Linked DNA regions of Lonchura striata. The protein of the gene in region 1 interacts with the protein of each later gene in a biochemical or structural test. Links are inferred from orthologs where the notes say so. Each region holds a gene or a part of one and is shown in the gene's direction. Other genes may lie near its edges.

What was found.
Region 2: the proteins of cadherin-1 (region 1) and JUP form a complex in vitro, tested with the Homo sapiens proteins (2 studies listed by BioGRID). The link is inferred for Lonchura striata from reciprocal best matches to the Homo sapiens genes CDH1 and JUP.
Region 3: the proteins of cadherin-1 (region 1) and CTNND1 form a complex in vitro, tested with the Homo sapiens proteins (5 studies listed by BioGRID and IntAct, with this or other methods). The link is inferred for Lonchura striata from reciprocal best matches to the Homo sapiens genes CDH1 and CTNND1.

The regions. Positions count from the first base shown.
Region 1 is NC_134615.1:22,960,258-22,967,565, forward strand, and holds the start of cadherin-1, read left to right. Parts: upstream 1-4,241; 5' UTR 4,242-4,326; coding exon 4,327-4,383; intron 4,384-4,497; coding exon 4,498-4,612; intron 4,613-7,308. Other genes in the region: B-cadherin-like, read left to right, coding at 1-145, 258-433, 526-654, 733-918, 1,004-1,248, 1,331-1,473, 1,782-2,006, 2,110-2,328 and 3 more.
Region 2 is NC_134627.1:6,608,743-6,615,988, forward strand, and holds the start of JUP (junction plakoglobin), read left to right. Parts: upstream 1-4,154; 5' UTR 4,155-4,221; exon of another isoform or gene 4,222-4,297; intron 4,298-4,435; exon of another isoform or gene 4,436-4,541; intron 4,542-7,246. Other genes in the region: P3H4 (endoplasmic reticulum protein SC65), read left to right, coding at 1-28, 131-276, 357-443, 618-759, 850-860. UniProt on the Homo sapiens protein: Common junctional plaque protein. The membrane-associated plaques are architectural elements in an important strategic position to influence the arrangement and function of both the cytoskeleton and the cells within the tissue.
Region 3 is NC_134608.1:53,102,729-53,110,783, reverse strand, and holds the start of CTNND1 (catenin delta-1), read left to right. Parts: upstream 1-5,018; 5' UTR 5,019-5,084; intron 5,085-8,055. UniProt on the Homo sapiens protein: Key regulator of cell-cell adhesion that associates with and regulates the cell adhesion properties of both C-, E- and N-cadherins, being critical for their surface stability.

The DNA.
Region 1 (7,308 bases):
CTCTTCTCCCACGCCGTGTCTGAGAACGGGAAGCCCGTGGAGGAGCCGATGGAGATCATCGTGACAGTGACGGACCAGAATGACAACAAGCCCCAGTTCACACAGGAGGTGTTCAGGGGCTCTGTGCCAGAGGGAGCTCTGCCAGGTAGGACCCCGGGCCTTGGGGAAGCTCTGCATCCCACCAGCCGTATTCCTTGGGCACAGCCTCGGCACTGTGCCCCCCAGCATCCCACTTACCTGCACACCCACATCCCCAGGCACCTCCATCATGCAGGTGACAGCCACGGATGCGGACGATGCAGTGGAGACCTACAATGGTGTCATTGCCTACTCCATCCTCAGCCAGGAGCCACGGGAGCCCCATCCCCAAATGTTCACTGTCAACCGGGCCACTGGCACCCTCAGCGTGATTGCCAGCGGCCTCGACCGGGAGGTGGGCTCTGCAGCACTGTGGGGCAGGGTCCCAGCCCCAAGCAGGGACTGACACAGTGTCTGTCTGTCTGTCTGTCTGTCTGTCCACCACAGCGTGTGCGGGAGTACACACTGACCGTGCAGGCAGCTGACCTGGATGGTGAGGGACTGACCACCACAGCGCTGGCTGTCATCGAGATCGCCGACGTCAATGACAATGCCCCCGAGTTTGACCCCAAAATGGTAATGTGGGCACCCCCACTGGTGTGATTCTCCTGGTGCCCGCTGGGCCGTGGTGCTGATGATGCCCCTCACCTGCAGTACGAGGCGGCCGTGCCGGAGAACGCGGCCGGGCAGGAGGTGGCCCGGCTGGCTGTCACCGACCTGGACGAGCCCGGCACGCCGGCGTGGCGAGCCGTCTACTCCATCCTGCGCGGCAACGACGGGGGTGCCTTTGCCATCACCACCGATCCCGCCACCAACGAGGGCATCCTCCGCACTGCCAAGGTCTTTGTCATCCCATGTCCCCCATGCTGCCCACGGAGAGTCCTGCCTGTCCCACTGTCACTGCCGGTGTCTCCCCCTCTGCCAGGGTCTGGACTATGAGGCCAAGCAGCAGTTCGTGCTCCACGTGGCAGTGGCCAACGAGGTCCCCTTCGTCGTGAAGCTGCCGATGGCCACTGCTACGGTGACTGTCACTGTAGAGGATGTCAATGAGGCCCCGGAGTTCGTGCCACCCGTGCAGCTGGCCACGGTGTCAGAGGATGTGCCCCCGGGGCAGACCCTCACAGCCTGCATGGCCCAGGACCCTGACAAGGCACAGGGCCAGACGATCAAGTGAGCGGGAACAGGGTTGGAGTGGAGGTTTGGGGGATCTCTGCTGCCCCTCGCCCTAGCACCAGCTCCCTGTGCCCCCCAGGTACCTGGTGGGGCACGACCCGGCGGGCTGGCTGGCCGTGCACCCTGAGAATGGCCTGGTGACCGCACGGGACCACCTGGACCGCGAGTCCCCCTTCGTCAAGAACAGCACCTACATAGCTGTGCTGCTGGCCGTGGATGATGGTGAGGGACATGAAAGGGCCCTTGTTCCCCCTCCCGCGTGAGGAACACGTGCTGCCATCACCAGGAAACACATCCCAACTCCAGCCTGGCCCCACCCTGCCCGGGGAACCCCAGCTCCCTGAGGATCCTGGGTTTGGGACTGCCCCTTCCAGCATCACTCCTTGCTGTTCCCACCCTTGCCCACAGCGGCTCTGTCCCTGGGAAAGCCTTGGTTTTGAGGCTCCTCCTGTCCCCATGCCTGCTTAGTCACCCATGTCCCCATGAGAGCCCTGGGTTTGGGATCCCCCCTCCAGAACTGTCCCCACCAGGCTCACCACCGGCCACGGGCACGGGCACGCTACTCCTCACCCTGCTCGATGTGAACGACAACGGCCCCGAGGCGGAGCCACGGGACATCACAGTCTGCCAGCGCAGTCCCCAGCCCCAGCTCCTCACCGTCACCGACCGGGACCTGCCCCCCAACACCGGCCCCTTCCGCGCCGAGCTCACCCACGGCTCGGGGGACAGCTGGGCTGTGGAGGTGGGGGACACAGGTATTGCAGGGGGGCTGAACATACTGTGGGGGTCCTCGGCAGAGGCAGCTGTGCCACGGCCGCATTCCTGGTGCGTTGTCCGTGAGCCCCCAATCCCACGCAGGTGACACAGTGACACTGCAGCTGGTGGCACCGCTGGAGCCAGACACCTACAGTGTGTACCTGCGGCTGCTGGACCAGCCGGGCAGAGCCCAAGTGACCATTGTCACCGCACGGGTCTGCGCCTGTGAGGGGCAGGCACAGGGCTGTCCCCAGAGGTCCCAGCCTGTCACCGCCCTGCCCTTCGTCCTCGCCACCCTGGGCGCGCTGCTGGCCCTGCTGCGTGAGTGGAGATCCTGGGGCTCCTGGGGCTGCGGGGATACCCCAGCTCTGGGCACAGAGGGGGACACATGTCCCTCCTGATGGCACTCTGCCCCTCAGTCATCCTGCTGCTGCTGCTGCTCTTCATGAGGAGGAGGAAGGTGACAAAGGAGCCGCTGCTGCTGCCTGAAGATGACACAAGGGACAACATCTTCTACTACGGGGAGGAAGGTGGCGGCGAGGAGGACCAGGTGGGTGTGGGGGTCAGGGACCTGGTGACAGCGTGAGCAACCTGACTGTGCCCCTCTCCATGTGTGTGTGTCCCCAGAACTATGACCTGCGGCAGCTGCACCGGGGGCTGGACGCCCGGCCCGAGGTGATCCGCAATGATGTGGCCCCCCCGCTCATGGCGGCCCCCCAGTACCGGCCTCGCCCCGCCAACCCCGACGAGATCGGGAACTTCATCGACGAGGTGAGTCCTGCCCCGGGAGCCTCGGGGGTGACACGTCCCTGCCTCACCGGCGCAGGGGACACAGGTGCTGAGCCCTCTGTTCCCCCAGAACCTGAAGGCGGCCGACACGGACCCCACGGCCCCCCCCTACGACTCGCTGCTGGTGTTCGACTACGAGGGCAGCGGCTCGGAGGCCACCTCGCTCAGCTCCCTCAACTCCTCCGCCTCCGACGGCGACCAGGACTACGACTACCTCAACGACTGGGGCGGCCGCTTCCGCAAGCTGGCCGAGCTCTACGGCGGCGGCGAGGAGGACGATTAGGGACCCCCAGCCTGCCTCTGCCCCCGCCTTATTGCTGCTTCTGTGCCTTGGGGGTTCCCCCTGCCGTGCCCCCTCCCCACCCCAGCGCAGCCCCCTCACCTCCTCGCCTGCATTTTTGTGGTTATTATCTATTTTTTAAGGTATGGAATGATGGCGTGTGATGCTGCAGACAAGGGGATGGGAGCCGGGTCAGTTTTAATAAAGGATTTGGTTTTTTTAGATGTTTCAGGGTCTGTGTCACTTTGTGCCCTGGAGGTCGGTGCTGCCCCTAGCCCAGCAATGACCCCGCTCCAGCCCTGTCCTCCCTTGCCCACTGCAGTGTGGAACCTCTGGCACAGCTGCAGCGTCATGCATCACTGGCCATGCAGGGCCAGTGCCCGTGCCCCCCGTCCTGGGGTGTCTTCGTCCCCAGGGGGTGTTGATGGGTATGGGCAGTGCACTGACTGCCAATCTGTCCATGGGAGTGACACTGGTGGCATTGGGCATTGCTGGTGCTAAATCTCTCCTGGCCTGGGCAGACACAGCCCTGCTGCTACCCCAACCCCCTGAGATGACCATGGGTGCTAGCATGGGTGGGCACAGCAGCCTCTGGCCTTGGCAGGACCCTAAGCTCTGAGGGTCTCCCACTGGCTCCAGGATCAGGTCCTGACACAGGATGGGGGTCCCCTTCCCCAGCTTTGGGGATGGAGGGGTATAGGGGAAGTCAGGGACTGCAGCATCCTGAGGGGCCCTTCCTGCCCGAGGGGTCCCTGGGTACGATGTTTGTCCCCTGCTGCAGAGCTGGGATCTGGGGCCGTGGCATGGGGGCACCCTGGGGTACTCCTGGCTCCTGTCACCCACCAACACCCCCTGCTCCCACTACCCTGGACGGGAGAGGCATGGAAAGCACGAGAGCTGTGTGGCTGGGGCTGGGAATATCAGAGGCTCGAGGAACAGCGGGTACCTGGGACGGGCAGAGCACCAGGCGTGTAGAGGGTACCGGGGGCTGGTGGGGTACTGGGGGTACCACGGTACCGGGGACCGTGGGAGAGAACCGCACCGGTACCGTGGGGGGTTCCCGGGTACCGGGCGTCATAGGTACCGGGAATACGGGGGTGCGGGCGGGGAGGGACCGCCTCCCGTCGGGGCGGGACGGGGCGGTTCTCGGCGGGGCCGACACCTGCGAGGAGGGATCGGGAGGGGACCGGACGCACCTGCGACTCCGCGGCGGCAGCGCCCGATCCCTCCGGCACCAACCGGCACCGGCTATGGGGCGGCGGGCGGGCTGCTCCGTCCCTCTCTGCCTCCTCTTGCTCCTGCTCCAGGTGAGCCACGGAATGGGGCGGCAGGACCCCGCCTAGGACCCCGCCGAGACCCTGCCCGGGGCAGCGGGACCTTGCTCGGGACCCTGCCCGGTGCTAACGAATCTCTCCGGGCAGAGCGGGCAGCGGCTGTGCCAGCGAGCAGCGTCGTGCCAGCCCGGCTTCGCCGCCGAGACCTTCACCCTGACGGTGCCGCGGGACGGCGTGGCGGCGGGACGGGCACTGGGACGGGGTAAGGACACGGGGACAACCGGGTGTGGGGACAGGGTGGCTGTGGGATGAGGACGGGACTATGGGTACAGGGGGGTGTGTGGGACAGGGACGGCCAGTGGGGGACATAAAGCCGTGTCTCCGTGCCCGAGTGGTGCTGGCGCGGCCACGGGGATGGGGCCGTGGGGACAGGGCTGTGGCAGCGGGGACAGTGCCATGACGGTGGGGACAGGCTCGCTGCGGTGGCAGGTGGCATGGGGGACAGAGCCTGGTGTGTCCACACGCAGCGGAGGGGCCACACTGCTGGTCCCAGCGCAGGCAGCCGTCGGGGGTCCTGGCACGGCGGGACGGTGCCGTGGCGCGGGGGCCGCGGCAGCCGCTCCCCGGGGCGCGCCGGCGCGGGCGGCGCTGACTCAGGCACCGCAGACCTGTCGGGGCCGGCAGCCTGGGGTGTGGGGCACGCAGGCGCCTGCCCTGCCCCGTGCCTCGCCTGGCACCCGGGGTTCACCATGGTGAGCCCCGCTTTGGACCCACTGTGTAGGCCGCCAGGCCAGCTCTTGGCATGGGGATGGGCACCAGGATGGGCTCCTGGGCTTTTGGGGATGTTGGTGTCCCACTGTGTTGGCATTAATGCCCTGTTCTGGCATGGCAAGGGGGCACTGGGGACTCATGTGCTGGGGATCTGCTGCCACTCTGGGACCCCCAAAAGAGACTCCGTGGGCTCTGGGGCTGTGTGCAGTGGTTGTCACCATCTGCACCAGTTCGTGGCTGAGACTGGTGCTGGCACTGCAGTGTGTGTGCCAGGGTGGCCAGGTGGGCAAAGGGCTGAGGGGTAATGAGCACCCAGTGCTGCACCCAGGCTCCCAAACATCCTCAGCTCTGTAATGGCTTCGCCTGGGAGAGCCAGGAATTGGACCCTGCCCCATACCCCAGGAATTGTGTTTGTTTGCCTTGTGGTTGATCATTAACGTGCACAAGTTGATGTCCATCAGGGCTGGGCCTGATACGAGGGGGGGGGGTGACGGGCAGCCCTGTGACTTCCCTGCAGCACCGAGACCTGCTGGAAATCCTCTGTCCCAGCACCAGCACTTTCAGCTTTGGGTTCCGGGCACAGTCAGGGCGTGGGAGGAAGGAAGGGACCGTCTGCCCTTGAGGCCTGTGTGGCACCCAGTGATTCACAGCTGTGCCACAGTAATGCCACCTGTGGGGTGGCTGAGCCTGGTGGATGCCAGGCCGTGCTGGGCCATGGAGCACCCCAAAGCTTGCAGCCAGGCTGACGATCCGGCCTGTAATTAGCTTGATGAGTTGAGAACTGTGTTTTCCCTCCAACAGGCCCAGACAAGCCCCACGCGGCGCCTGGGCGGCGAACAGCAACACCTGCGTGGGGGCTGCGGCACCGCCAGGGCCCTGCTCCGTGGGTCGGGGGGCTCTGGGGTGGTGGGCATGTGGTGGGGGCTGGGATAGTGCCCCTCAATCCTGGGTGGAGAAACCTCGAGAGTCTGAAGTCACAGCGAAACTGGGGTGACGTCAGTGGGATGTGTCACCCGCAGCACCTTCACCCTGGGGTGAGCCCCCTGCCCTGTACAGCTGCATGTGTGCAACACACGGGGTGGTGGCACTGCAGGGATGGATGGGGACACCCTGCTCTGCCTGTGCCCAGTCCCACTGAGACCTCACAGGACATGAGGTGGCTTTGGGGGCCTGCCCTGATCCCCTGTGTGGGGTCTCAGCCCCACACCCAGTTTGGCAGCCTGGTTGTACCAGTCTGGTTGTCCCAGTGTTCTGTAGATGGTAGTGGGGGGGGGATCCCCCTTGAAGTGGGGGGATCCCCCTGAAGGACTCTCTTGAGTTCTTCTTTTCTCCCACCCCCATCATTCCCAGGAGAGGGCCCCCCTTCCACCCCCCCAGCTCGCAGCCCCGGGGAGAGGAGGGCTGGGGCCAGCCCTCCTTCAGCCGAGCTGGAAAAACAGGTTGTGCACAGCCAGGTGGGAAGGGGGGGAGTTGGAGGGGGAGAGCGGGAAGGGGGGAGCGGGTTCTGAGCACCCTCCTGGAAGCCAGTGCGAGCTGAGCACTGAGCGCTCACTGCACGCAGTGTGGGGCTGGGGGCCCCGTGCCGCCCCTCCTGCACCCACCGGGCCCCGAGCCAGGCCGAGCGCTGGGGCTGCGCCCGCGGCTGCCTCTCCTTCCCCGCCTGCCCCGGCACGCTCCTGCCCAGCCGGCCGCACCGGCTCCGCCCGCCCTGCCCGGGGGTCCTGCCGCGGGGCTGGCATCGCACCGGCGGCTCCTCCCGGGCCGGCTCGGGGGCACCGTGGTGGGCAGGGGGGCAGCGATCGTACCCCCTTGCATCCCGCAGCCAGCCCGCATTCCTGGGCTGCTCGTGGGCTGATGTAACCCACGGCTCCGTTCCCTTCCCTCCGTCCGGCGGTGCCTCCTTGCCCACCCCGGCACGGCCCCTGCCGGGGCGCGGGTCAGCCGGGGCGGCGGTGCCAGGGCTGGCTCCGGGGCCTGGGTGCCGCTGGCTCGCACAACCCTCTCCCAGACAAAGGCTGTTTGTTCGGGAGCGCGGCCCGGCTCATGTGATGCCCGCTGACCGCTGCCTCGTGGCGGCCCAGCTCTGCCGCGCCCAGCCGGGTGCCCAGCTAGTGACATCGGGCCCCGCCTGCCCGCTGAACCTGAGATTGGGGGTCCCAGAGCTACCTGGGCAGGCTGAGGGGCCTG
Region 2 (7,246 bases), on another chromosome or scaffold:
CACTACCTGCAGTTCGCTTACTACAAGCGTGAGTGCCGGTGGGAGCGGGGGGCTGTGCCCTGGGGCACCCTGGGTTGCTGTGGCCCTGGGAGGGGTGTCACCCCCGTGTCAGCTGGCGCTGTCCCCGCAGTGAACGACGTGCAGGACGCGGTGCGCAGCGTCTCCAGCTACATGCTCTTCGACCCTGGCGACACCGTGATGCAGCAGAACCTGGTCTACTACCGCTTCCACCGCGAGCGCTGGCGCCTGCGCGAGGAGGACTTCGAGCCACGGCCGGTGAGGACCCCCCAGCCCCGTCCTGTGGCCCTGCACTGCCCAGAGAGGAGCTGACCCAGCCCCTCTGCCCCTGTGCCCAGGAAGCCGTGCGCTACCACAGCCAGACGGCCGCCCAGAAGGAGATGCTGGAATTCGCCCGGCAGTACCTGCAGGATGATGACGATGAGGTACCTGACACGGGATGCAGATGGTGCTTTTGGGGGGGCTGGGTGGTGTGTGTGGGTGCTGCAGGGACCTTTCGCAGATGGGGGGGGTCTGACCCCCCCAAAGCAGTCCTGGAGCAGAGACTGCAGATGAGGCTGCCGAGCTCCTCTGCCTCCTCCTGCCCTCCTGTGCTGCAGATGGAGGTGGATGGTGGTGAGGGGCCAGAGGTGCTGGACCTGCCCTCCGATGGCGAATTCGAGGGCGAAGGTGACTACGAGGAGGGCTTCTTCGCAGAGTGGTGGCAGGAACCCAAGACCAAAGGAGACAAAGATGACCAAGGTTCCTGATACAAAGGCTGGGAGTTGTGCTGTAGGGTCGGGGGGTCTGCTGCCCACACCCCTGGTGCCACCAAACTCTCCTTGTTTGCAGAGATCCTATGATGAGCCAGGTGAAGGGGGAGCCAGCAGCACCAACTGAGCTGGATGGTGGTGACTCTGTGATGCCATCTTGGGGACATCGGGCTTCAAGCTCCTCCCAGCCACCGGTAGAAACTCAAACTCATGGGGAGGGGCCAATCCTGCCTTGCATCCTGCGGCAGGACTGCTTTTGCCACCTGGATGTCTGCTGTCCTGGCACAGCCCAATTCCCATCAGTGGAACACCAGCATCCCTGAATGTCCCTGCCTGCCCAGGAGCCTGGGCTACCCCCACCCCCAATTCCGCAGGAGCCCTGACCAGCAGTGATGCCCCACAGCACTGGGGTTTTCTGTGTCCCTCAGCTGCTCCCCAGAATCTCTGGATGATGCACCAGAATTTATCCCTATCTTTTCTTGAGGGGCTTGAAGGGCTGCCCCTACTTCGGGAGCAATGCACAATGCTGCTGGAGCTGATCCTGCCCCTTCCTGAGGCTCCCTGAGGCTCCTGTTCTCCAGCCTCCCAGGCAATCTGACAGCTCCCATAGCCCAGGTCCCCTTGGACTCCCTGGCCTGGTGCTACAGGGGGCTCCCAGTGTGCCATGTCCCCGTGTCACCATGGGGCTGCAGCCTGGTGAGGCTGTGGTGCCCATGCCCTGCCTGTGCCTTGAATTTTTGCCACACCAGCCCTCTCTAGCCTTAAGCTCAATTAATTTAAGATTTTCCCTCCTGCACCGTTGCTCTTTTTATATATTTACTGGTGCTGAACTTTTAATAAAATCCAGACTGGTCTTTTCACGGCTGCCTCCACTTTCCATATGCTGCTGCCATGGGATCCAGGAGACCAGGGTAGGAGAGGCTCTGCTGTGAGAGAGGAAGAGATCGGTTCAGGCCTGGATGTCCCCAGAGATGACCTGGGGGAACTTGTGGGGCTGGGGGCCCATGGAGGCCATGACAGCAGCCAGGCTCCTGTGAGGCTCTGGGTCCCATGAGGGGGACCCCAAATGGGATCCATGACCCCCTCATTGAGTCTGTCAGGTGAGGTGGGGGGGGAGCTGCAGGGGGCTGGAGGGCAGCATGTCCTACCCCATATGGGTCTTTGGGATGTCATATCCATGAGCTGATGGTTGTTTTGGGGTACAACACTGTGACACTGCTCCTGGATCAGAGGGTGCAGCCTGGATCCCCCGATGAAGGTGGGCATGGCAGGGTGGGATGACTTCCTCCTGCCTGCATCAGGGTGTTTGGGGGCACACTGGGGGTCTCTGTTGGTGCTGACAAACCTGTGCCAGTCCTAGGCACGAGGCATCGGGCAGTGTGTGGCCGCTCACTCCTCCCTGCCGGGTTGCTCGGCGTGGAAATTGGCTACGAGGACTGAAACTGAGAGGCTGAATCACAGCGTTGGCCCCGGGGGAGGGAAGGGATGGGAATGGAAGGAAGAGAGTGGCAAGAGGCTGCCAGCACCCCACCCTGCCCTGCCCGGAGCCCCTGTTCACCGAGGCTTTTCCAGCTCTGCAGGGCACTGGGCGGGGGGCAGGGGCTGAGCCCCCAGACCCGTGAGCAAAGCTCAGGGCTCGGGGAGGCAGTGCTGGGAGGGAGCACCCACTGCACCCTGCACCTCACAGGGCTGTGCTGTCACTTGGGAGGAGCTGGGTTTGTCACCGATGGGGCACAGCCACCTCGGGAGGGGAGTGCCAGCCGGGTGGGGTGTGGCCAGCGGCACTCGCGAACGGAGGAGCGGAGAGCGCTCAGCCCAGGGCTGGCACCGCAGCCTAGGGGACAAAGGCTGCGGATCTTCCCAACAGCTGGGCGAGGGTGGCACTGGGCCCACGGGGCCTCCGCCCTGCTCTGACACACACCCGGGCACCCTCCCCAGCCCCACACTCACGAGGAGAAAACAGCTCCCTGCTCCCACTGATCTACTGGCACCGGGCAAAGCCCCTTGCAGCTGCGAGCTGGAGTGCCCGGGGTCCCTTCCCTGCTCCCACCTGAGCCGCTGGATGTGCAGGATGTGCTGGATGGCTGCATCCATCACCCCGGGAGTGCCAGGCAGGAGCAGCATCTCTGGCAGTGCCGCTGTGACCTGGCGTGGCTGTGACCGTGGGCACGGCCACCGTCCTGTCCTGCCGAGCTGCGGGCAGTGCCAGGGGCGCAGAGATGGGATGCGGGGTGACTGACGGGGGACACGGAGGAGTCCTGGGCTGCAGGAGAAGGGCTGCAGGGAGCGATGGGTTGGTTACTTGGTGAAGGCATCATCGCGGTCCCCTCGACCTTGACCAAGAGGGGAGCGTGGATGAGATGTCTGCTGCCGCCTCCCCTGCGCTGTGCCCTGCCGTGCCGTGCCGTGTGCCCATTTCCCTGTGCCGAGAGCTCTCTCGCTGCGCTCCGGATCTCCCGCTCAGCGCACAGCCATGAATTCCCTTCTTCTTGCAGAGGCGGTGGAAGCTCTGTCTCTCACCTTCCTCCGGAGCTGAGAATCCCCGCCTGGCAGCGCTCGCTGCCAGACGTAGCAGGGAACCGTGCAGGCAGCGGGGGTGCACGATGCTCCCTCCTCATCCTCACCGGGGCAGAATCCTCCTGCTCCCCCACACCTGGGGGTCCTGAGCTGGGCTGGGACGTGTCCAATGGATGACTCGGGCACTGGGTGACGGCGGCTTAGCCCGGGACGCGGCAGCAGCACCCGGCTGGACCGGTCCGGCGGGGACCGGGCTGACGCGGCGCCAGCAGCCCCGAGCCCTTCCCGAACGCCGCTTCCTGTCGCCCCCGCGCTCCTGCCTCGAGGGGTCCCCGCACGGCCCCGGGGTATCCGCACAGCCCGGGGGTCCCAGCATGGGCCGGGGTTCCCCGCGCGCCTCGGGGGTCCCCGCACAGCCCGGGGGTCCCAGTATGGGCCGGGGGTCGCCGCGCGGCCCGGGGGTCCCCGCACGGCTCGGGGGTCTCCGCACGGCTCGGGGGTTCCCGCACGGCTCGGGGGTTCCCAGCACGGCCCGGGGGTCCCAGCACGGGCCGGGGGTCCCCGCAGGATCCGGGGATCCCAGCACGGCCCGGGGGTCCCCGCGCCCCCGGCCCTCAGGGGCGGGTCCCGGCCCCACCTGGCCGCGCCCACTGACGTCACCCAGGTGGTCCCCTCGTGGTCTCGCCCCGCCCACCCCGCCCCGCTGTCCAATCAGCTGCGGGCAGGGGGCGGGGCGTCCGCGCCCCCGCCAATGGGGAAAGAATAAACACGTCCGGCGGGGGCGGGGCCCGGCGGGCCCAGTGCTTGATGGGCGTGCGGAGCATCCAATGGCGGAGGGGCGGCGCGGGGGCGGGGCCTGCGGCGGGCGGGGCGGCGCGCGGGGCGCCGCTCGCCTTTTGTTCGGGCAGGAGCGGGCGGGCGGCGGAGAGCGACGGTGAGCGGGGCCGGGGCACCGGGCACGGGCGGGGAGGGACGGTGAGTGGGGCCGAGGCATCGCGCACGGAAGGACGGTGAGTGGGACCGGGGCGCCGGGCACGGGCAGCGGCGGTGAGCGGGACTGGCGCGTCGGGCACGGGGAGCGACGGTGAGCGGGGCGGGGCACTGGGCATGGGGAGCGACGGTGAGTGGAGCCGAGTCAGGGCGCGTCGGGCGTGGGGGAGCGGCGGTGACCGGCAATAGGCCGGCTGAACCGGGCAGAGGTCACTCCGGGTCCGCAGGACCGGGCTGGCGGAGGTCGCGGCGGGGAGCGGTCCGGTGAGCAGAGTTGGGGCGGCCGGGACGGCGCCAGGTCCGCGGCCGTCCGTCGCCGTCCGTCGTTCCGGGCTGGGCTGCACCGGAGCGGCGGGGACTCCGCCGTGCGGCGCTGGGGAGCGGCCGCTCTCGGGGCGGGGAGGAGTTGGGTCCGGGCCGGGCAGCACCGGGCGTCCCGGCTCGGCCCCGCTGCCGTCGTCTGGGGCAGAGCTGGCCGTGTGCTGCCCGTGAGCTCGGCCGGTCCTGCGCGGCACCGGCAGGGCGGGTCCCCGGGGCTTCCCCCATGCCCAGCTGGGCTGTCCCGGCCCCTTCCCGGTGCCGCGGGATCCAGTTTGGGAGTCGCGGATCCGCGCTCCTGTGCGAGGCGGTGACTCTGTCCCCGGCCCCGCCCGGAGCTGCCGCGGAGCGGGCGAGGCCCTGGCACGGCGCTCGCCCGGTGCTGTGGGGCTCTTACGCAAACTGGACTGCTCCGTGCCCAGAGTCACACCTGGGGACACCGCGTGCTGCTCTCGAGGCCGCCTCGGATCGCTTCGACATCGCCGTCCCTACCCGCGGGGCCGGGGCTGCCCTCCGCCCGCCACCTGGCGTGGGATGTCTGGGGGCTGAGAGGGATGCGGGTGACCTGACATCACCCAAGACAGCCCCCCGCGGGTGAGGGGTGCTGGGCACAGGGCTCACAGGGCGTCAGGGTGACCTGACATCACCCAAGACAGCCCCCCGCGGGTGAGGGGTGCTGGGCACAGGGCTCACGGGGGTCCCAGCTGAGCTCCTGCCAGGGACATCCGCACCGCGAAACGGCGGGGGGAGTGAAACTTGGCTGTTTGTCTGATGTTTAGAGAGGAGAGAGCGCTCTAATTGCGTTAGCTGAGTGATTAGCATTAGCTTAATTAATCAGGTTTATAGCACAGATGAAAGGATAATGCTGAAATGTTGCTGGGAGTTGCCCGGAGAAGGCAAACGTGGGCTGCCATATGAGCAACGTGGGGCGATGTATGCCGGGAGAGGAGCGTGAACGCTCAGGAGGGCACGGCTGCTGCTGGAGACGGGACAGGGTGACCTGTGCCACTGTTGTGCCTGCCCGAGTGTGAGGGCATCAGCCTTCACCCTCTCCAGCCAGGCTGGAAGTTCCTGCACCCCCAGCTTCCCTGTAACGCTGTTGGGGTGCCTGGGTGAGTCCTGTGTCTGGTTTCACGTTCTCTTGTCAACTTCCCCATCCCAGAAGGGTGGTGGGGGCTGGGGACACCCTGTGACACAGCCCCTCAGTCGCTTCACCTCCTGCTCCAGCCCACGTCGTGCTGGTTTTGGCGCTGGTGCCAGCCCCGAGCGGCTCTGGTGTCCGTCTGGATGCGCTGGTGGGGAGCCGGGGGCGCAGCGTGTCCCTGCCAGCTGCCGCGGGGATGGGGCTGCAGCGCTGCCGGGGGCGTTTGCTCCGGGCTCTCAGCCGCATCCAGGGCAGGTGCAGTGTCCGCGGGGGCTGCTCCAGGCTCCGCTCCCGGAGTGTCCGGCCCAGCCGGAAACAGGGATGAGAAAATTATAGGGGTCCATTTCTGTGTCCTTGTCGGTGTCGGAGCTGGCTGGAAGGGTGCAGGGCACCCACTGGGACTGCGTTTGCACATCTGAAGCCTGTTATCGCTCATTGTTTTGGAGGATTTCCATGAGGTGTCATGAAAAACCCATTTTTTACTGCTAATTTGGCTTAAACAAGTTGGCCATCAGGACGGGGACGCACAGGGCTCCTGGCAGCGGTGGCTGAGGATTGTGCTCCCTCCTTGCACTGTGGCCGCTGTGCGGGAGCAGGGACAGACGTGGGTCCCCGGGGCTCAGGGCGCTGGGGAAAGGTGGGGCGGCCGTGCGGGGCCCTCCCTCAGACAATGGCGTTACAGCCTATTGTCTGGGCGGTGTGCCGTGTCCTTGCCGGCTCCAGGAAGCGCGTTCATCCCCGGGAGGGGGTGGGGGGGACGAGCTGGGCTGCTGGGAGGGGTCTCCTGGGGCTGGGTGTGCGAGTAGTTTGTGCCACCGTGCCTGGAGCCTCCGGGGCAGCGCGGGTGAGTCGTGGCCGGGCTGCAGCCGGGGGCCGTGGGGGATGTCCCCGCTGCTCCTGGTGCCGCATTTCAGTGTATCATTCGGCGCTGCCCTAATCCCATTAACTCACCCCTTTGTTTTCCCCCACCTGAAACCCTTACTCAGCCCTCGCGGCCGGGCAGGCGCTGCGGTACAGCTGCACGGCTCCTGCAGCTCAGCCCGTTCCCGGGAGGACGGCTTCCCTTCAAGACTGTGGTTTGCTGTGGGAGCGCTTGATGGGATTTGGCTTTTTATCACACTTCCAGATCTCCGGGATTTCAGACGGCGCTTTTGCCGGGCGCGCTGCCGCTCGCAGATGGCAGAGCCTGGGAGCGAAGCTGCCCTTGGCCCCGCTCCGCAGGCTGGGGGAGCAGAGCCTCTGCACAGAGAACTTGCAGAACTTTAATTGCAGCATCTGTACCGACGCTTGTGCTGGTTTTGAAGGTTTAAATTATACTGGCTTCTAATTAACAGAAGTTAAAAAGAAATGTAGTGTCTGTTACAGCAGTACAAGTCTACCTCTGAGTTCAGGTGCTGCTTCCCCACCTAGACAGGGTGTGTGGGCACCCAGCATCACCCAGGGCTGGGGTGGGTGGTCAGACTTAGTCCCGTGGGGTGTCCCAGGTTGGTCTTTTTGAATGGAAATG
Region 3 (8,055 bases), on another chromosome or scaffold:
TCGCTGCTGCTGCTGGTAGAGGTGCTGGAAGGCCGTGCGCAGCAGGCGGGTGCTGCGGTACAGCAGCTGCCGGCTGGCTGCGGGAGAGCCCATGGCCGTCCTGCAGGGACAGACAGCGTCGTGCTGGGGACTCGGGGACCAGCGCCTGCCTGCTCTCTTCGCGCTATCCCAATGGCTTGTGGCTGGGATGTGGCAGGGCCGGGGTCTGCAGAGGCCCGTGTGCCCGTGCCCCAGTGCTGTCCCCCCGGTGGCCGCCGGACCCCGCCCCGGCCCCGCCGCCCCGGCCTCCCGCGTCCGCCAGGGGGCGCCACAGCCGGCGCCCTGAGGCCGCGTACCTGCCGAGGGGCGCTCGGGCCGCCGCCGAATCGCCCCGGGGGTGAGTCCGGAGCTCGCAGCGCGGCCGCGGGCAGCGGGGACCGGGACCGGGGCCCTGCGCGCCCTCGCCTCGCGCCCGCGGCCTCACGTGGTGCGGCGGCCTCGCCCCACCCATTGTGGCGGCGCGGCGGGAGCGGCCCGGCCGGGGCGGCGCCGCGAGCGCTGGGAGCGGGGCTCGGCGCCGCCCCGCCTGCCGTGCCCGACCCCTTCCGCAGCCCTCCCCAGCCGCCGTGCCCTGCTCTGCCCAGGGCCGGAGGCACCGCTCGTGTTTTGTGGTGCGATGGCGGCCGCGCTGAGGGCAGCCTGGGTGCCGCCGCCGCCTGTGGTGGTGCTCGTCCCTCCCTCATCACCATCGGGCCCGGACACGACAGCCAGGCCAGGGCCGCTTATGGTCACTGCAGCGGTGGCACTGAAGAACACGGGGTTGATAATGGGGAAGGTGCTGTCTGGAGCATCTGCTGTCTGGAGCAGCTCTGGGTTCAAGGGCTCCACCTTGGTTTGGATTTTCAGACTCCACTGGGCCCTCGCGTGTGAGGAAGGGTGTTTTTGTGCCCCAGGCTCCTGAAGGGGAGGATTGATGGTGCTTTGGAAGGCATCCTTCAAGCAAGCGATGCTGCCCACTTAGTTTGAAAGTTTTTTGCCACGTTATAAAGCACCCATTGTACAAAAATCTGCGTCAGTCACTCCACACACATGAGCAAAGATTATAATCCATCCCCATTGCCTGGAGACAGTGGCTGTTCCTACAAACAACCCAAGTGGGTGGAAGTTTCAGGAGCTGCAGAAGGACAGGAGCCTGAATGTCGCCGTAGAGTTTAAATCTACAAAGTCTTCAAATGTGGTCTTGCAGAGGGATTTTCATCTGGTTGGACATGTGAGGGTGGTTTTTCTTCTCCGTTTTTGCAAAATGGACACAAACCAATGAAGAAAGTGGCTGGTGCCAGGCCTGAGCCAGAGGCCTTTGAGGTCACTGGCAGTCTGTCACTGCCCCCGGGTGGCTTGGAGCCCAGCCCGGAATACCAAGGGATGCAGAAAACAAGTAATTTCATATCAAAGTGCTATCATATGCTCATAAAAATAGAAGGAAAATAGAGATGTTTCCTCCCCCACCCCTTGCAATCCTGTGGAATTACAATGATCGGAGCTGTCGCCTGGAAAGCCTGACCTCACTGGGAGTGCATGGATCCAGATGCCATGGAGTGCCCTGTGACAGTGAGTGGGACCACAGTGGGACAGGGGGCAGCCACATTCCAGCAAGCAGGGGGGTTAATGTTTCAGCAGTAACCCTGTTAGGGAAAGCCCCCACTCCACTGTACCCCGACAGCTGCAGCGCTGCTCCCCCCCCACCACCAGTGGCCTCGTCTGCCCTTAAAATTCACTGATACTCAACTGGCAACCGAGCAACCACTCCCTTTGCAGGTACACAAAAGAGGCCTTTTATGAGTGTCATTTTTACTAGTATCCAAAGCCAAATAACACAGAGTAGAAAAATCACCAGCAGCCTTTTGTCCCATTCACCCCTCTCTCTAAACTCCATTTCTTCTACCAGATTTTCCTGGGGGAAAGTATGGGATTGCAGTTTTCACTGTAAATCGTGTCAGACCCTGAATCTTTCTGTCTATCTTCAGGTGATCAGAGGCTGCAGACCTGCAGCACAGCTGGTGTCCTTGGCCCTTGGCTGGTCGAAACCCTGGGTGACTCAGAGGGTTGGGAATGTCCAGCAGGGTTTATCTCCTGGTGGGATTGACTGCAAAGTGAGGGCAAGGCCTAAACTGTGCTGCCTGTTCAGGCTCCCTCTGCTATTGATAGGAGGCCTCCTCACAGGACAAATCTTGTCTTTACAGTGTCTCCCAAGCCCTCAAATCAGCAGTTTCTGAGCCAGTTTCTGGAAGAGAAAGGAAATTCCCTTCTCAATTCTCATAGCCGGGATCATTTTCAGCTATGTCGCCTTTGCCTGTGTTGCAGGGCAGGACCTGCCTCAGAGTCCCTGCTCTCCAGAGGGACCTTGGACCCTGCACAGTGGCAAAAGGGATGGATGAAGGCAAGATCTGAGGCTGGGAAAGGCACTGAGAAAGGAGAGAAGAAAGAGACTGTAAGTGGCAATAGATCCTTGTGGGGCTGGGGGGGAAGGAGATTTCTGTGCATGCTTAAGTCACGTGTACATTTGGGCAAAAGATGTACCAGGAATTTGACAGTCTGAGGGCATGACAGGATGCAGCTAGGCTGAAAGCAGGATGGTCTGTGGGCATGAGAGAGCCCAAGCACAGTGGGAGGCTGGTGGGAAGCAGGGACAACACCAAGCACATGGAGCTGCACTGGGAAGGTGGCAGGGTGGGCTCTAGGCTTGCTCTGTGGCCTGGCATCTTCCAATTGGAGCTGGAAAGCTCCTTCAGGCCCGCTTCCCTCCTTCTCCCCCCTCCTGGTGCCGCACTTCCCCTCGTGCAAGGAGGGCCAACAACCCGTCAGGATTCCCATAGGAAAGGGGCTGCGGAAGGGCCTTGTTATCCTGACCTGGAACAATGCAGGCCATCCCCTGAGCTGCCTGCGTGGACCTGGAGCCAGCAGCCTCCCCTTCCTCCTGCCCTCGGCCGCCGAGAGCACGGGCCTGCCTTGTAAACAAATTGTCTTGCTCTGTTCCGGTGGCAGCTGCACTTCTGGGCGTCTCATCTGGGAAAGGCATCAGCTGTAGGATGAAAGGGGATGTGCAAGATGTTATTACAAGCAATTACTGTAAAAGAGGGGAAACTTTCCCATGCTAGGAACACATCTCTCTTCTTCCCAGAACGCAGTGAGACAGGCTCCTCTGCCCCAGGAGTTATAGTCAAACAAGAGCATGATCCTCCAGCTGAAGCTGAAGGATCAGGGTCCAGCCTGCCTTCCAAAGTAAGCATGTGCTACCGGGTGTTCCAGCTGTCAGGGCAGGGCTGGGGCAGGGCCAGCCTGGATAAGCCCTGTGCAGCTCCATCCTGGGGACAGGAGGCACTTGCCCAGCGTCAGAGTCGTGTTTGTAAGAGCACCTTTAGCCTTTGAAGAGGGCATAGGGAGGGTGTGACTGGGCCAGGACCATGCATGAACCTCCGAGCCCCTGCTGCCCCAACTGCCCGGGCAGAGGCCTCAAAGGACATGTCATTGGTGCTGGGATGGAGGAGCAAGGTGTTTCTGATGCCTTTTCCCTGAGGGAGAGCTGCCCCTTGGGAGGTGTCAGGTGAACGAGGACTCTTTCTCCCAGAAGGAATTTTGAGAGCACCTCTTCTCCTTCCTTGTCTCTGAGACTCAGGGAATACACTCACCTTCCTCCTTGTGGTGGGCCAAGAGGAAGGGAGGGCAGATGGGGATTATTTCTAATCTGGGAGCTGTTCTCACTCAAGGTACAAGGCTGAGAGGGGATCCAGTTTGCTCATTTTGGGTGACAACAAGGATGAAGGGATGCAGAGAGAAGGTCTCACTCACTTGCTGTGGAATGGAGAGACCCTCTCCTCCCTGGGACATGTGGACCAGCTCTCCATCTGCTCCCAGCTGGTTGGATGGTCTATTTTACAAACCAAACATCAGGGAGGGTTTGGGGGTCCCCATGCCCCGATCATCTCCCTAGATGTTCCCTTTTTATGCATCAAATCCCATTTCACCTCATTACACCTTTCTGCACCACCTTTAGCAATCCGTACAGAGCTCTGGATCACCTCCTTCACACCTCCATCCGCAGGCTGTTATCACATCTTCCCTGCCTCCCAGTGCATATTTACCCCAGGAATCACCTGTCCCACCCAAAACCGTCCCCAGCTCTTTTCCTCTATCATTATCTCACTGAGAGTTAGGCAGACAGGAGCAGGCAGGGTTCTCCCCGGTCAGACACCTTCGGGGGACTTGGACTTCTCCCAGGTGAGCAGCCCGGAACACGCCGTGGGGCTGGCCTGGCGTTACTTCCTTGCCTCTCCGGGAAGGGGAAACCCTCCACCACAGAGGATGAGCTGTGGCTGGAGTCCCACCAGCACCTGCTCCCTAGGGCCAGAGGGAGGGAACGGGTTAACCTCCCGGGGACGTAGTGCAGCCCATCCTGCCAGGGAATCTCCCTTCTGGGCAAGTTCTGCCCTGTACAGGGTAAGCTGGTTTCCCGCCGCTCCAGAGGGACCGGCCGGAGGAGGCTCTACTCCGGGGGTGTCCCAGAGAGCCCCTTGGTGCACCACGCCGGGGCAGACCCGGACCTTGAGGAGGAGCTGGTCTGCTCCCGGGCGCCATGGTCCCGAGGTGGAGCCCATCTGAGGGCAGACCCCGGTTTGGAGAACATGCACCGCTGGGGCACATCCCACCAGGATGGAGCACGCGGAGAACACACCGTCCTCCGGCCAGACCCCACCGGGACATCCGCCCCGGCCCCGCCCCGGTCCCGCCCGTCCTTGTCGCGGCTGCTGACGCCGGGGGCGGCCCCGCGCCCGCCCCGCCCCGCCCGCCGGACCAACTTCCATTTTAGGTGCGGGAGCGGCGCGGGCGCACGGCGGGACCCGACCGACGCCGCGCTCCGCACACACCGCCCCGCGCCGCCCGGCGGGACCCGGCCTGACCCGCGCCGCCGCCGCACCGGGCGCCCGCCTCGCCTCTCGCCTCGCCGCCGCGGCGGGACCCGCGGAGCGGAGCGGGCCGGGCGGCCGTGCCGCCGCCGCCGCGGGGCGGGACCGCCTGCCCTCGCCCGTCCGCCGAGGAGCCCGGCCACGGTGAGTCCCGATCGCGGCGTCCGTGCCGCCGCTCAGGGGGCAGAGGGGAGGGAGCAGAGCCGGTGCGGGCCGGCGCCTGCCGGGCGCCGCACGCCCCCGCGGCGGCGGCGGGGCGGGACGGGCCGGTCCTCGCCCGGCGGGGCCGGATCGGGGCTTGGCCGCGCTCTCCTGCCGGGGCCGGTAGGTACCGGGTCCCTAGAGTCCCGTCCTGCCCGGGAACCCGTGCCAAGCGCGGCCGCGCCCCGCGGGACCGGTGGGGCGGCGGGGCCCGGCCCTGGCGGGGGCGCTGGCGGCGCCCGGGAGCCCGCGGGGAGCGACACAAAGGCGGCTGGGCCGGGCGGCCGCCCCGCTCCCCGCCCGGGGCCGCCGCCGCTCGCCCTGCCCGGAACAAAGGCGGCCCGTGTGCCAGCTTCCCGCGGCCGGCACCGGCGGGCCCCCCCGCCCTCGGGCGGGGAGCGGGGCTGGGTCCCTCCGCGGGGTCTCGGCCGAGGCACGGTCCGGCTTTCCGACTCCGCGTCCCGCCGCCCAGTTCGGCTCTGCCGCTCTCCGCAGGGGCTCCTCGCCCGGTGTGTCGTTCGCCTGCGCCTTTGTTCTGCCGGGGAAGGGGCCGGTGTGCCCGGGGGGGTCAAGTGTGCGGGTGGGGCTGCGGCTCCTCCTAATGGAATCGCTCTGAGCTTCAAAACAGCCCGACAGGCCCGTCCACCCGAGCTCACAAGCGACTCCGAAGTGCTTTCCGAGAGGCAGGACGGTGCCGGAGCCGACCTCGGGGGTCTGCTCAGCCGCCGGTTCGTTCTGAGTCTGCCTTGGCCACACTGTCATTTAGCGACAGCCCGGCTGCCTCCCCCTGTCCAGCGCTCGTCCTGCCTTCTCCGGTGACCGTCCCCCGGCATCGCTTTCCCCTGCACGGTGGGCGTTCCTATGCCTCTTCGGAGCGTTGCAGAGAAGAGACTTTGCTTGGGGTGAGAAAGTTTGCGTGCCTCTCAGTCATGAGGGCTGCTGGCATCTGCGAGGCACCCGCGCGCTGGCAGAAGGGAGGTGGGGCACCTCCGTTATGGCCCTGGGCTTTGGGCGAGGGAGCCTGGACAACAAAGCTTCCTCTGATTGTTGGAGAGAGCAGTGGACCTCCTGAAGTGCCTCCCTCTCTCCCCAAGGGCTTGGTGCCCTTGCCCTTCCAGGGAGCCAGTGATGATGGGGCTCACAGGGTGTTATTTTGGGGGCCTGGGCTGTCCTGTGACCAGCTGGAGCTGGAGGCTCCTCTCCCAGGCTTCTTCCCAGCTCCCGGTGAGCCAGAGAAGAACATCTGGGCACATGGAGTCATGTGATTGTATTGAACTGCAGCTACCTGTAGTTTCACTGATGCCCTCCCTGCACTGCACAGATGCTTTTGGACTTGACTGTCCAGGTCTTTGGTGTGGAGAATTGAGCTTGTCCTCAGCTTTGCAGGTGTGCTGGGATCCTGTAAGCCATGCTCGCAGCTTCTGTTTGGAGTTTCAGCTTCCATGCCCTCTCTCCTGGATGTGGCAAGGTAGGGTCAACAGCTGGCTGGTGACTCCCAGGCTCCTGCCTCTGCTGGAGCTCCTGCCAATGGAGCCGGGGCCATGTCCAGCAGGTCAGTGGCAAGAGCCTAGGCAGGAAAATTGTTAGTTGTCTTCCCCAGAGTTACCTTGTCTGCTCCATCCTGCTCCCAGGGCTTTCTTGAGGCAGGTTCTTCACCTGCTGGTGTTTGCTCATGCTCTGTCAACAGCATAAAGGCAGTTTTTAAGGATTTGTTCTTCCACTTGGTTGAGTTTGGCTGGACTCTTGAGTGTGCCGTTGACTGTCCTTTGCCGTGTGCAGCATTGCTGGAATCTCGTGCGGAACCTTCCTGGAAGCAGTGGGAGGATGAAAGCGCTCGCTCAGTGGAGCATGCAGGCTTGCCTGGACTGCCACAGAGGGCTGAGCCTCCTCCCTTCCGACGCAGAGGTCAGGGCCTGATCGTTGTGGTTGAGGAGCCCTTGAGGCCATCCCTTCCCTAAAGATGGGCTGGGAGTCAGATGAATGGTCCAGCCCAGACCGCAGAGCCGGTGTCTGTCCCTGGATTGCCTCTCATTTCTTCCCTCCTCCGGCCTCTGGCATGGAGATAAGACCTTGGCCCATTGTATCTGCAGTGGAGGTGGCTTTAGGACACCCAGAAAATAATAGTGTGGCTTGGATCATGCCTGGAAGGCTGTTGGCTTCTCAAAATAACTTACCAGTGTCTATGGCCTTAGGGGGAAAGTGCTGGGTAAAGCTCTTGGTTTCTCTTCCCAACAACCCCTCAAAACTGTCTCTCATTTACTGCTGGCAAGGACAGAGCCCTTTCCCAAGACTGTGGTGATGCTGTCTCCAGGGAAGTACAGAGCTCTCCTGGCTCTGAACATTTGTGTCTCTGCAGCACTGTGGCTGTGTCCTGTCCCTGCTTTGCTGACGGGGAGAAGCGGAACCTGGAGCTGGTTTGGGTCAATAGGAGACAACAGGTGTTGCCTGGATTTGATGACAAAACCCGAACCTGGGCAATTCAGGCACTCCTCTGTGTGTGACACAGGGCTTGGCCAGCGGAGGAGGTTGTCCTCTGGCACAGAGTTCAGGAATGTGCCTCAGTGCTAGGCTGTCAGAAAGGGGTTGGATTGACGGGCTCTCGACCAAAGTCCTCGATTTCTCTGAGGTGGCCACAACCTTCTCTTTGCTTTATATAATCCAAGGAGGCTTTTTGGGGGAGGAAATGGCTTCTTAGAGCAAGTTCTTGTCCTGGAAACCCCCAGCAGCAGGCTGATGAGTCTGTCCAGCTCCCGCCTGTCTTGTGCTTGTTGCTAATCCGCCTTCCTTCCCTCCAGGAAGGCTGCTGGTGTTGGTTTGGCACAGGAGTGCCTGTCCCTCTGCCCTGTCCAGTGACTGCTGCATGTGGGGCCTGACCTCTGGATTAATGGGCTTTGTTGTGTTCTTGTGTGCCTTC